Ovis aries: one gene and its partners. The protein of the gene in region 1 interacts with the protein of each later gene in a pairwise test. Links are inferred from orthologs where the notes say so. Each region holds a gene or a part of one and is shown in the gene's direction. Other genes may lie near its edges.

Region 1 (2,741 bases):
GGCATGTGGGATCTTAGTTCCCCAGCAGGGATTGAACCTACAAATCCTGGATTGCAAGGCAAATTCTTAACTACTGGACCACTAGGGAAGTCCTCTCTTCTTTGGACCTTGTGGTTAAAAATTATTGTGGTAAAAGATGTATACAGTTTCCTGTTTTAGCCATTTTAAGGTCCGTAGTCCCATGGCATTTAGTACGCTTATAATGTCCTGTAGTTGGTCACTACAATCTAATTCCAGAACGTCCATCACCCCAAAATGAAGCCCCACCCCCAATATCGTTGTCTCCCAGCTCCTGACTACCAGTCACCCGTCTGTGGATCGGCCTGACGGTGTTTCCACATCAGTGGACTCAGAAATTCTACGGTCTTATGTGTCACTGGCATGCCCCGGTGTCCCTGGGGGGCAGCACTGCCCCACTGAGAATCACTGTTTTTAAGTCAAAAATGGATGTTCCTGGGAAAGTTGGTGAAATTGACAGGTTACAGTCAGAAGGGTGGGCTCAGGGGGACTTGGGTCCCAGGTAATGTCTCTTGCCAGCAGGGGGGAAGGGTCAAGCAGGGCCGCAGCGGGAAAAGGGGGCTGAGCCGTCTTCAAGTCCAGGACTCTCTTTGCAGCATGTCCGGCATGATTTCAGGCGGCCACAACCCCCTGGGGACTCCCGGCACCAGCCCCTCGCAGAATGACCTGGCCAGTCTCATCCAGGCGTGAGTAGACCTGCCAGGTGGGGCTCCTGGGTGGGGCAGGGTCCAAGGTCCCCGGGTGCTCTGTGGGGCCTCATCCTCCAGGGAGTGGTCCCTCTGCCCTCCAGGGGCACGTCAGGTAGGGAGAGGCGGCTGGGTGGGTGCCTTGGACCTGGCTGAGCCCAGGCACGCCTCCCCTGCCCCCACCTGCAGGGGCCAGCAGTTCGCTCAGCAGATGCAGCAACAGAACCCAGAGTTGATAGAGCAGCTCCGCAGTCAGATCAGGAGTCGGACTCCCAGTGCCAGCAATGATGACCAACAGGAGTGACCGCCCCGTGAGTCCCCGGAGCTGGGGGGCACCTTGGGCCCTCAGGTCTCTTGCCGGGTGGGCCCACTCAGGTGTTTCTCCCTCCAGCCTGCCCAGCGCCATCGGGTCCTTCCCGGCCTACAGGAAGCCTTCTTGACCTTTTCCGTCTCCTCCCATTGGATCGCCCACGAGAGAAAAAGAACTTGGACCTGCATGTTAAGCCGGATTTTTATGATGTTTACTTTTACTTCCTCCCCTCCCTCCCTTTTTATACTCTCTCACGGCCCCCAGATCCTTCTTGAAACAGAGCCAGCAAGCTGTGAGTGCAGACCAGCACCCGTCTCCCTCCTGGCCCCCTGCCCTGAAGACCTGGTCACTAAAGTATTTTCTAGAACATTCTGAGGTGGGGGTGGTCTTCTCACCGCTCTCCGAGAAGTGGCCTGTGGGATGCCGTGGCCCCGAAGCCCCTTCTTCAGCCCCCGCCTGCCTTCCCAGTCTGTCTGCAGGGCCTCCCAGCCCCCGAGAAGCCGCTTTCTGAGTTGACCGTGGCCTCCCTGGCCACCCCTGCTCAAGCGAGCTCACTGCCAGCCAGCCCGGCCCAGCAGACCTGGGTTCTCAGACAAGGAACTCCAGTTGCAAGTGCCCCAGAGGCAGTTTCTGCGCCCAGCGGGGGCCGAAGCAGACGTCTTGGGTGCACACAACCCATTTCTGGGACTTAAATTCCAGTCCAGTGCTCGGATGGACTCGGGTCTGATCGCCATGCTTTTCCCAGTGCTTACAATTGACAGACTGTGAGGGGCCTTCTCATGACCTTTGAGCTGGCTCCTGAGCCTGTCGCAGCCTGGCTGTGTATCCCAGCCACTGCCTTCTGTCCACAGGTGGTGGTCCTGCTGGCCTGGCTTGCCTGCATCCTCAGCGGGCTCTCCTCCTGCTTGGGGGTCAGGGCTATGGGGGTCCCTGATGACCACCTGCCTGGGCCTGAGATCACCGGGCAGCCACTGTGGATGTCCCTGCAGCCCAGGGCAGGGTGGAGAGGGTCCCTGGCACCGCAGCTCGGGCCACAGTGTTGGTGATGAGATCGCTGGAGGCTCCCTGATGGTGTCGGGTCCTGTGGGAGGTGACACCGTACCAGTACCGTGTGTGTAGGTAACTCGTAGAGACAGCCCCACACACATCCCACAAGGCGTCCTAACTCATGAGTGCTACCATGATGACGAGATAACGTGTGGGGAATAAATAGACATCGTGATCTCTGCTGGCCTCCATGTGGACCTCTCAGTGCCACTCTGCCCCCACCCCCTCACCTCCCAGAGCTTCCTGGAACCCCCAGTGTGGACCCTGCATGGGTCACCCTGAACCATTGACCCAGGTTGTGTGTGCCTTCCCTGTCACCTTGAAGACAATCTCACAAATTTGGTGGCCTTTAACTACACACAGTGTCTCCATCCTGGAGGCCAGAAGTCAGACTGGGGACCCCCTTGGGCTAAATCCAGGTGTGGATGGGTCTGGCTCACTCCCTGTCCAGAGGCTGACGTGTGGTGTAGGTGCAGGGGGTGTCAGGCCTGCACTCGACTCCCCCGGGTCGCTGGGCTGTGGGAATGCTTTGGGGCCATACCACTTTCTTTGGCCGTGACCTCTGTGGCTTCCAGTGGGTGTACTCAGCCTCTGGTGACCTTGAGCTGCTCTGTCCTGCTGAGGACCTCCCCATGTTCCCTGCCACTTGGATGGTGGCCAGTAGGTCACAAAGGAAGTTC
Region 2 (4,061 bases), on another chromosome or scaffold:
GCCATCAAAGTCTCTAAGATCCTAAGAGCCACTTCCCACAAAACAATGCTTTTGGGGGTTTAGGTTGATTTATGTAAATTTTAAGAGTTATATAAGGTACTTAGTCGCTATCTCTTAAATTGAATTGAAAGGAAGTTACTTCAGAACTATGGGAAACGGAAGGGAGGAATATTTGGCAGCTAGGTTTGGGGTCGGCACTATCAAATAATAAGTGGACAGGAAGTAAAAGAAGCAAGAGAAAGAACAGAAAAGAACCGGTGAGCAGAGGAGAATCTCCTTTTTGACAGTACTTGGGTACATTTGGTTTATACTTAATCATTTCACGCAACACGTTGCTCTCATGTATATCACAAATACTCATTTATGTGTTACTCAAATAATCCTAGGTACATTACCTTAACTTCTGTCCTCATTCGAAGAAAATGGAAATTCCAGAAAGACGGAAGCCCAGCCTCTGAGTTGTACAAACCTCGGAGCTGGAGCCACGTGGATTAAGCCCCTAAATTCTTGAGTGTCAAAGACATGTCATTAAGTAGGTCACTAAATGCACCAAGGAAGCCAGAAAAAGAAAGAGCCCCCTAAAGGAAAGTAGCATTTAATTGGGAACTTTCAGACATCTGTCACTCTTTGTGACAAGCGCCAAAAAGTCCTTTGCACATTTAGTGACGCGCAGGTGGGACGGGACTGACCGCTGGAGTGATTGATTTGGGAGATTGTTCGGGAGAGAGGGGGAAGGGCGTTGGGGGTGGGGTGGGGACAAACCAGAGCTTGGTTCTGAAGACTGTGGTTTTTCACCCTCAATAGCAATCACAAAAATCGCCGGGGGCCCGAACTGTCACCTAAGATACCCTCAACTGTCCATTTCAGGTCTGCTACTTGGTAAACTGGGATTCGCACCCACCTGCAGAAAAGGTCCTGCGCAAAGTTTGGCAAAGGGATATTGCATCCGTCCCTGTTAAAAACGAAACAAGTTTTTCATTCCCCCGGCCTTTGAGTTCAAATTCGAGTGCTGGCGCCGGGGGTGGGGGCCGAGACGGCCCGGGGGAGAACCTCGCATTTAAGAAGCAGCTTCCCAATCAGCTCGCGAGGGAACGGCGCGCTCCCCCCTCCCCAGTCGCGTCCTCTCCCTGCCCGCTCCTCACATCCCTCCCATTCTCCATTTCCCTTCCGTCCCCTCCCCGGCAGGGCGTGCGCCAGTCCGAGGCAGGATCGGGTTCCCCGCCTTCCAGTCCAAAAATCCCGCCAAGGCCGCAGAGCAGAGGAAAAGCCGAAGTGGAGAGAGGAGAAGAAAGAGAGCAGGGAGTCACCGGGCGTGCGGGCGCAGAGAGCAGCGGCCGCCGCGAGCACCAGCGACTTGGGTACCTGGACTCAGGGCAGAAAAACCTCTCCCGGATCAACAAAGGCAGCCTGAGCGCGCACCGCTCGTTTGCGACTCCAAGTAAGTCGAAGCGAATGCGCGATTCCTCCAGAGGTGTCTCGGATCGACACCTTTCTGGGCGCCAGCGCGTGATACTGGTGAGAGTGGGAGAGAGGCTGCTGGTGTCTCTGCTCGTGGGGCTGCTTTCAACACTGATGCGCTCCAGAGGCTTACTTTGGGGGAGTCAGGTCAGATAGTCACGACCCCCGGGAAGAGTGTAAGCTTTTGTAATGTTATGGGACGTGCATGTGGACTGGGTTCCTGGCTTCCAGCTGGATGGCGAACGTGCGGAGGCTTTGCCCTTTGTAGAACCTGAGCTAGTAGGTGTGTCTGTGGCTGGGTAGAGAAGAGAGAGAAAGTAAGGCAGCCTGAGCAAGCAGGCTCATTTTCCCATCTTTCCTCAGCTTCCCGGATGGCCCCAGGGCTTGCCAGCTGATACGTTTGAGCTGGCATTTCTAGGTACCAAGTGGGAGCTTGTTCCTCCCAGTGCCAGCTACCTTGCGCATCCCTCACAGAGCATCTGGGCACTCCTTGTCCTGCCTGCCAGCCCAGGAATGGTTCTAGAAATGGTTCTGTCCGAAGTTTAAAAGACACACCTTGCATCCCACTTCTCATTTGAATAATTTTAATAATTGCCCTGTACAGAGACACTTGAACTTTTTATTTCCCCCAGGTAAAGCTAGGGTATATTGATTGCTAATTGGCTAGATTCTCAGTTTTTGAGTTGATGCGTCTAATAAGTTAAAATATTTTAAAAGAGAGGAATATATTCTACTTCCCTTCCCTACTTAATACATAAAACTTCCTCTCTCTTCAACACACACACATGCAAGCACCCTTTTTTCTTTAACACAACACAACACTGAGTTTACTTATACTCTTGTTAACTCACCCTCCCTCTGTTAACAGCTGCTTTATAAGTTTGGGGGATACACTGAAAAACTAGGAGTGGCACATGGGGGGAGGGGTGGCAATGACTGGGAGAAGGAACGATTTGAGAAAAATTAAATTCCGGTCTTTTTGGCATTTGGCGTCTTTCATCTTGAGAGTTATTTAGGCGTTTTGCTCTAACAGCTTGAGAGAGGTGGTATGTGTGTGTGTGTGTGTGTGTGTGTGTGTGTGTGTGTGTGTGTGTTGGAGGAAAGGGCCTGGGAGGAGGTCCAGGAACTATCAAGAAAGCTTTTAAACTAAACACATAATGAAGCGATTTCATGATTTCAGGCAAATGTGGTGTTGGTGGAACCGTAAAGTCCATTTTAGCCTCTTGAGCATCTGGGGATAAACTGATATTTGAAATATTGGAAGGTAATGGGAGTGAGACAAAAGAGGTGTCTCTCAGCATAGAAAATAAAGCTTCTATTTTCCATCTTCTTTCTGGTTTTATTTTTAAATAAATTAGGCATTCTAAAGACCAAATCATAAGAAAATTTATAGTCCAGTTAAATTCAAAGGCAATTAGAGTGGATATTTTCTTGTTTTTCCTTCCTTTGGGACATGAGTTATTTCAGAGGAGCAATATTTGTACTTTCTCATTTAAATTAGAGGATGGCTTTTAAACAATTATTTCATTAAAAAAAAAACAATTATTTTGTGCTTTAAGAAACTTTGGTGCTTTGAATTCTCTAATTGTACTTTAAATTGGTAGAAGTTGTTCTCCTCTTCCCAGGCCTCTTTTAGGACATTTTTTTCTCATTTAGTGAAAAGCTATAAGGAACACCCACCTGAAGCCATACTTAACACGTTAGCTGCTGTGTTCCTGCTGTTTGCTTTTTGGTACAAGTGTATTGTATTTTCAAAGCTAGAGCTGTGAAAGAAGAGAAACTCAGATAATATGTGACTTTTTATTATCGGACTTTTCAATGGGGTCTTATATAGAATGAGAATAGTAACATTTAAAAATATTTAGAGTGTATTATATTTATAACACAATTCTGTGGACTTCTAGACTTCTTTTCGTGATATTGGGAATAATAAATTTACTAATTTATTGAGAATTTCCACGTATACCTTAATCTTCACATATAGCAATATGTCACAGAACCCGCACTTTTAAATGAACATTTTTGATGTTTTTACTCTAGAAAACCTTGTGGCCTGGTTTGGATTTTCACAGAATCTGATCACTGGAAATAACTTGAGAGAAATAAGGTCCTTAAATAATTTAATTGCTTTTATCAATAAAGTCAATCTTAGAGATCAAATATTTTGAGTTTAAATATTTTTTCCTTTTGAATATACTCTTGCTTTCATATTTAAATGACATTCTCACGTGAATTCTGATCATATTCTTATTTGCCATGTGGTATTTTATTACTATTCAAAATTTTCTGAGGAGACTGAGTTTGGTTGGCTTGTTCAAAACGGTATATGAGTTAATAGTGGATTCAGGGCCAGTAGTCTGAATTCTGATTATGAATTCCAGTTCTCCAAATACACTTTTTAATATGATGACATAGTAAAAAGGGGAACTGTCCTTGACTCCCTCCTAAGGTAATGCCCAAACCAAGACCACCCAGGGGGATCACGGGGCAAGCTGAGTGCAGGTCAGTCCTGTGTGAAGAGATGCTCACCTTTAAGCGTCTGGTGAGTCAGACACCTCCAGTTGCCCTTGTTCCCTTAGTTGGATGCTGAGTGGAGCCTCTCT
Region 3 (4,086 bases), on another chromosome or scaffold:
CCTATCTCCTGCCCACCTACTCTCCCGGCACCTGTCTGGGACCAGGAAGCCTACTTACATGGGGGCCAGTGGTGGGCGTGAAATGACTTCTGGGACTGTTAAAGACCAAAGGTGGCAGTAATTCCCAGCCACTCTTGATCACTCAGGCAGGTCACTGCCTCTGTGCCTGCACCTTTTCCGGGAGACTGGCCCCTTTCTGCACTGGTGCTAACATTGTAGAGGGGCATCCACATCTATGCTGGGCCTGGTCAGACACTGCTATTCTTCCCAGGCTCAATGGCACTGGATGTCCAAATGCCCTTGGCAGGCTGCAGGACCAGCCAGGGGAACATCCTGCCTCTTCTGAATGTCTAGAACAGAGGGTCTCCTGGTCTCCTGGGTTCTGAGTGCACAGTCTGCAACAGTTCAGCAATGTGCTGTCTTAACTGGTCCTTGCAACCCTGGGAGACTGGCTGGGCAATCGTGTTATTATTAGGCCCACCCAGTGGATGAGGAAACAGATGCCCAGAGATATTCTATGTCCTGTCTGAAGTTACACCAGGATTTGTCCCAGAGAAGACCAGGCAGGTCCTGTCTCCAAAGCCTCTTGACAAGACGTGTAGCTCTGTGAGCCCTGCGGTGCTCTAACAGGGGAATGCCAGCAGGGTTAAGGACTTTGAGACTTAGATTTTCCCTAGGAATGGGAGCCACTTCATGAGGTCAAGGGCAGGTGGTTTAGAGGGAGTGCATAAGATTTGGGGGCGATGGAGCCTGGATCAGAGATTGGGTCAAGGCCTGAGCCTTCTCCCTCTTGCCTAGGACTTTGACCACCACTGCAAGTGGGTCAATAACTGCATCGGTCACCGCAACTTCCGCTTCTTCATGCTGCTTGTCCTGTCCTTATGCCTCTACTCGGGTGCCATGCTGGTCACCTGCCTGATCTTCCTGGTGCGTACGACCCACCTATCCTTCTCCATGGACAAGGCCATCGCGTATCCGCTGGGGTGTGGGGACCCACGACCAAACAGTGAGGGTGGCGAGGAGCTGTCAACAGAGGGGCGGGGTCACCGGGGGGGGCAGAGTTAATGGTGAGCAGGGTTAGACGGTGAAGCCGCCTGACAGGACTGATCTGAGACGAGGTGAGGACAGATAGGGTCAGAGAGATGGGTGGGGATAGGAGGAACTGTGAAGGGGTGAGCTGGCAGAGTCAAGGATGGAGAATGCTAGAGGTGGCACGGGCCCTAGGCAGCAGGGTGGGCAGGGAGCTGGTGGGCGGGGCTACGTGTGGGCGGGGTTATGCTAGGGCCGGGGCCAAGGAGGTCTGCCCGGAGGCGCTGCTCCTTAGCTGCTGTGCAGCATCTTGGTTGCTGTACCCGCCGCCGGCTTCCTGGTGCCCCTCTTCCTGTTGCTGCTGATCCAAGTCATGTCGGTGAGCGCGGCGGAGCGGTCCTACGAGGGCAAGGTACGTGGGGACGAGCGGGGCGCCATGATGGTATCGGGCTGTGGGTGGTCACCTTACCCCTCCGGGCTTCCGCACCTTCCGCTTTCTCCTTCGCCCTGGTCTTTGATGGCCTGAGCTCTCTCGAAGGTGCCTCTTGAGCCCTTCCAGACGCAGATTCAAGCTCAGATCTCACCTCCTTCCGGAGCTCGGCAGTCACTCTTCTTGCGTCGAAGGTGCACTAGTGAGGGCTAGGCCCCGTGCGCATTATTTTGAGCCATGGGCGTGGAGGAGAGTGAGGCTGCATCCTGAGAGTGTGCTGACAAGGAAACGGAAATCAGAGTAACTCATCAGACACCAGCGAACGCGCTGAGAGAGGGGCCTCCCGACATTGTGTAGCACAAACTCAGAGCACTGAGAGTTCAGTGAGGACCGCGGTGTTGAGTAGGACGTGCCACTTAGCGGGTTTGGACGGCAGAAGGCGAGGCATTGCTGTGAGGGGCAAAGAGTGCAAAAAAAGCACGGAAGCCTGAAAGTCTGTGGAATGCTGGTAGGCGGGTGAGGGAACACTGCTGATCGCCGCAGGTGTGGCATGAGCAGTCAAGTGATCTGCCTGGGACTGACCAGATTTACAAGGCAAAGAAGTCAGGTGGATAATTTAATCTTGGTGCAGTGGAAACTTGGAAACCTTGATAGGACTTTTTTCTTTACACACAGTAAAGTTCACCCTTTTTAGTGCACAGTTGTATGAGTTTTGACAAACATACAGTTCTGTAATCACTGCCATAACCAAGATTTAGACTAGCTCCATCCACCCTCCCCTCACTCCCCAAATTCCCTCATGGACTTTTGTAGTCCATTTCTCTCCCAACTTGCAGCCCCTGGCAAATACAGAATTGTTTTCTAGCCCAACAGTTTCTCCTTTTTCAGAATTTCATATAAATATAATCATGGCCTTCTGAGTCTGGTTTCATTCACTCAATGTAATCCATTTGAGATTCATCCAGGTTGTTTCCCGTATCAGGAGTTTCCCTCTCTTTGCTTCAGTAGTATCTCATCAAACAGGTGTGTCACAGCTTCTTTACTCTTTTTTTGCCAGTTGAAGGATATCTGCATTGTTTTTGGATTTTGGTGATTATAAATGAGGCAGGACAGGAGAATGTTGGATCCCACCAAAAAAAGATAACCCATGTCCAAGGGCAAAGGAGAAGCCCCAGCAAGATGGTAGGAGGGGCAAAATCACTTTTAGAATCAAACCCAATACTCGCCAGAGAAACTTGGAGGGCTCAAACAAACCTTGTGTGCACCAGGACCCAGAGACCTCACAGAGGCTGAGCCAGAACTGTGTTTGAGTGTCTTCTGCCGAGGTACGGGTCAGCAGTGGCCTGCCGCAAGGGCAGGGGCTCTGGGTGCAGTAGACCTGGGTATGGCATAAACCCTCTTGGAGGAGGTTTCCATTAACCCCAGCATAGAGTCGCCAGAACTTACACAGGACTGGGGAAACAGACTCTTGGAGGACACAGACAAAACCTTGTGCAGACCAGGACCCAGGAGAAAGGAGCAGTGACCCCACAAGAGACTGAGCCAGACTTGCCTGTGAGTGTCCAGGAGCCTCTGGCAGAGGCGTGGGTCAACGGTGGCCTGCTGCAAGGTTGGGGGCACTCAGTGCCGCAGTGCATGCATGGGACCTTTTAAAGGAGGTCACCATTATCCTCATTCAGTTCAGTTCAGTTCAGTTGCCCAGTCATGTCTGACTCTTTATGACCCCATGGACTGCAGCACACCAGGCATCTCTGTCCATCACCAACTCCTGGAGTTTACTCAAACTCATGTCCATTGAGTCAGTGATGCCATCCAACCATCTCACCCTCTGTTGTACCCTTCTCCTCCTACCTTCAGTCTTTCCCAGCATCAGGGTCTTTTCCAGTGAGTCAGTTCTTTGCATCAGGTGGCCAAAGTATTGGAGTTTCAGCTTCAGCATCAGTCTTTCCAATGAATATTCAGGACTGATTTCCTTTAGGATGGACTGGTTGGATCTCCTTGCAGTCCAAGGGACTCTCAAGAGTCTTCTCCAACACCACAGTTAAAAAGCATCACTTCTTTGGCACTCAGCTTTCTTTATAGTCCAGCTCTAATCCATACATGACTGCTGGAAAAACCATAGCTTTGACTAGACGGAACTTTGTTGGCAAAATAATGTCTCTGCTTTTTAATATGCTATCTAGGTTGGTCATAACTTTTCTTCCAAGGAGCAAGCATCTTTTAATTTCATAGCTGCAGTCACCATCTGCAGTGATTTTTGAGCCCCCCCAAATAAAGTATGTCACTGTTTGCACTGTTTCCCCACCTATTTGCCATGAAGTGATGGGACCAGATGCCATGATCTTAGTTTTCTGAATGTTGAGTTTTAAGCCAACTTTTTCACTCTCCTCTTTCACTTTCATCAAGAGGCTCTTTAGTTCTTCTTCACTTTCTGCCATAAGGGTGGTATCATCTGCATATCTGAGGTTATTGACAATCTTAAGTGATCTGTCTGGGATTGACCAGATTTAAAAGGCAAAGAAGTCAGGTGGATAATTTAATGTTGGTGCAGTGGAAACTTGGCAATCTTAATTCTAGCTTGTGCTTCATCCAGCCCAGCGTTTCTCATGATGTACTCTGCATATCAG

What was found.
Region 2: the proteins of SGTA (region 1) and PTN interact in a two-hybrid assay, tested with the Homo sapiens proteins (2 studies listed by BioGRID and IntAct). The link is inferred for Ovis aries from reciprocal best matches to the Homo sapiens genes SGTA and PTN.
Region 3: the proteins of SGTA (region 1) and TFRC interact in binary tests that used the Homo sapiens proteins (3 or more experiments, as listed by UniProt). The two-hybrid records come from large-scale screens. The link is inferred for Ovis aries from reciprocal best matches to the Homo sapiens genes SGTA and TFRC.

What each region holds. Positions count from the first base shown.
Region 1 is NC_056058.1:18,712,589-18,715,329, forward strand, and holds the end of SGTA (small glutamine-rich tetratricopeptide repeat-containing protein alpha), read left to right. Parts: intron 1-614; coding exon 615-704; intron 705-893; coding exon 894-1,008; 3' UTR 1,009-2,241; downstream 2,242-2,741. UniProt on the Homo sapiens protein: Co-chaperone that binds misfolded and hydrophobic patches-containing client proteins in the cytosol. Mediates their targeting to the endoplasmic reticulum but also regulates their sorting to the proteasome when targeting fails.
Region 2 is NC_056057.1:102,434,102-102,438,162, reverse strand, and holds the start of PTN (pleiotrophin), read left to right. Parts: upstream 1-1,250; 5' UTR 1,251-1,438; intron 1,439-4,061.
Region 3 is NC_056054.1:191,631,584-191,635,669, reverse strand, and holds the start of TFRC (transferrin receptor protein 1), read left to right. Parts: upstream 1-1,275; coding exon 1,276-1,441; intron 1,442-4,086. Other genes in the region: palmitoyltransferase ZDHHC19, read left to right, coding at 799-1,065. UniProt on the Homo sapiens protein: Cellular uptake of iron occurs via receptor-mediated endocytosis of ligand-occupied transferrin receptor into specialized endosomes. Endosomal acidification leads to iron release.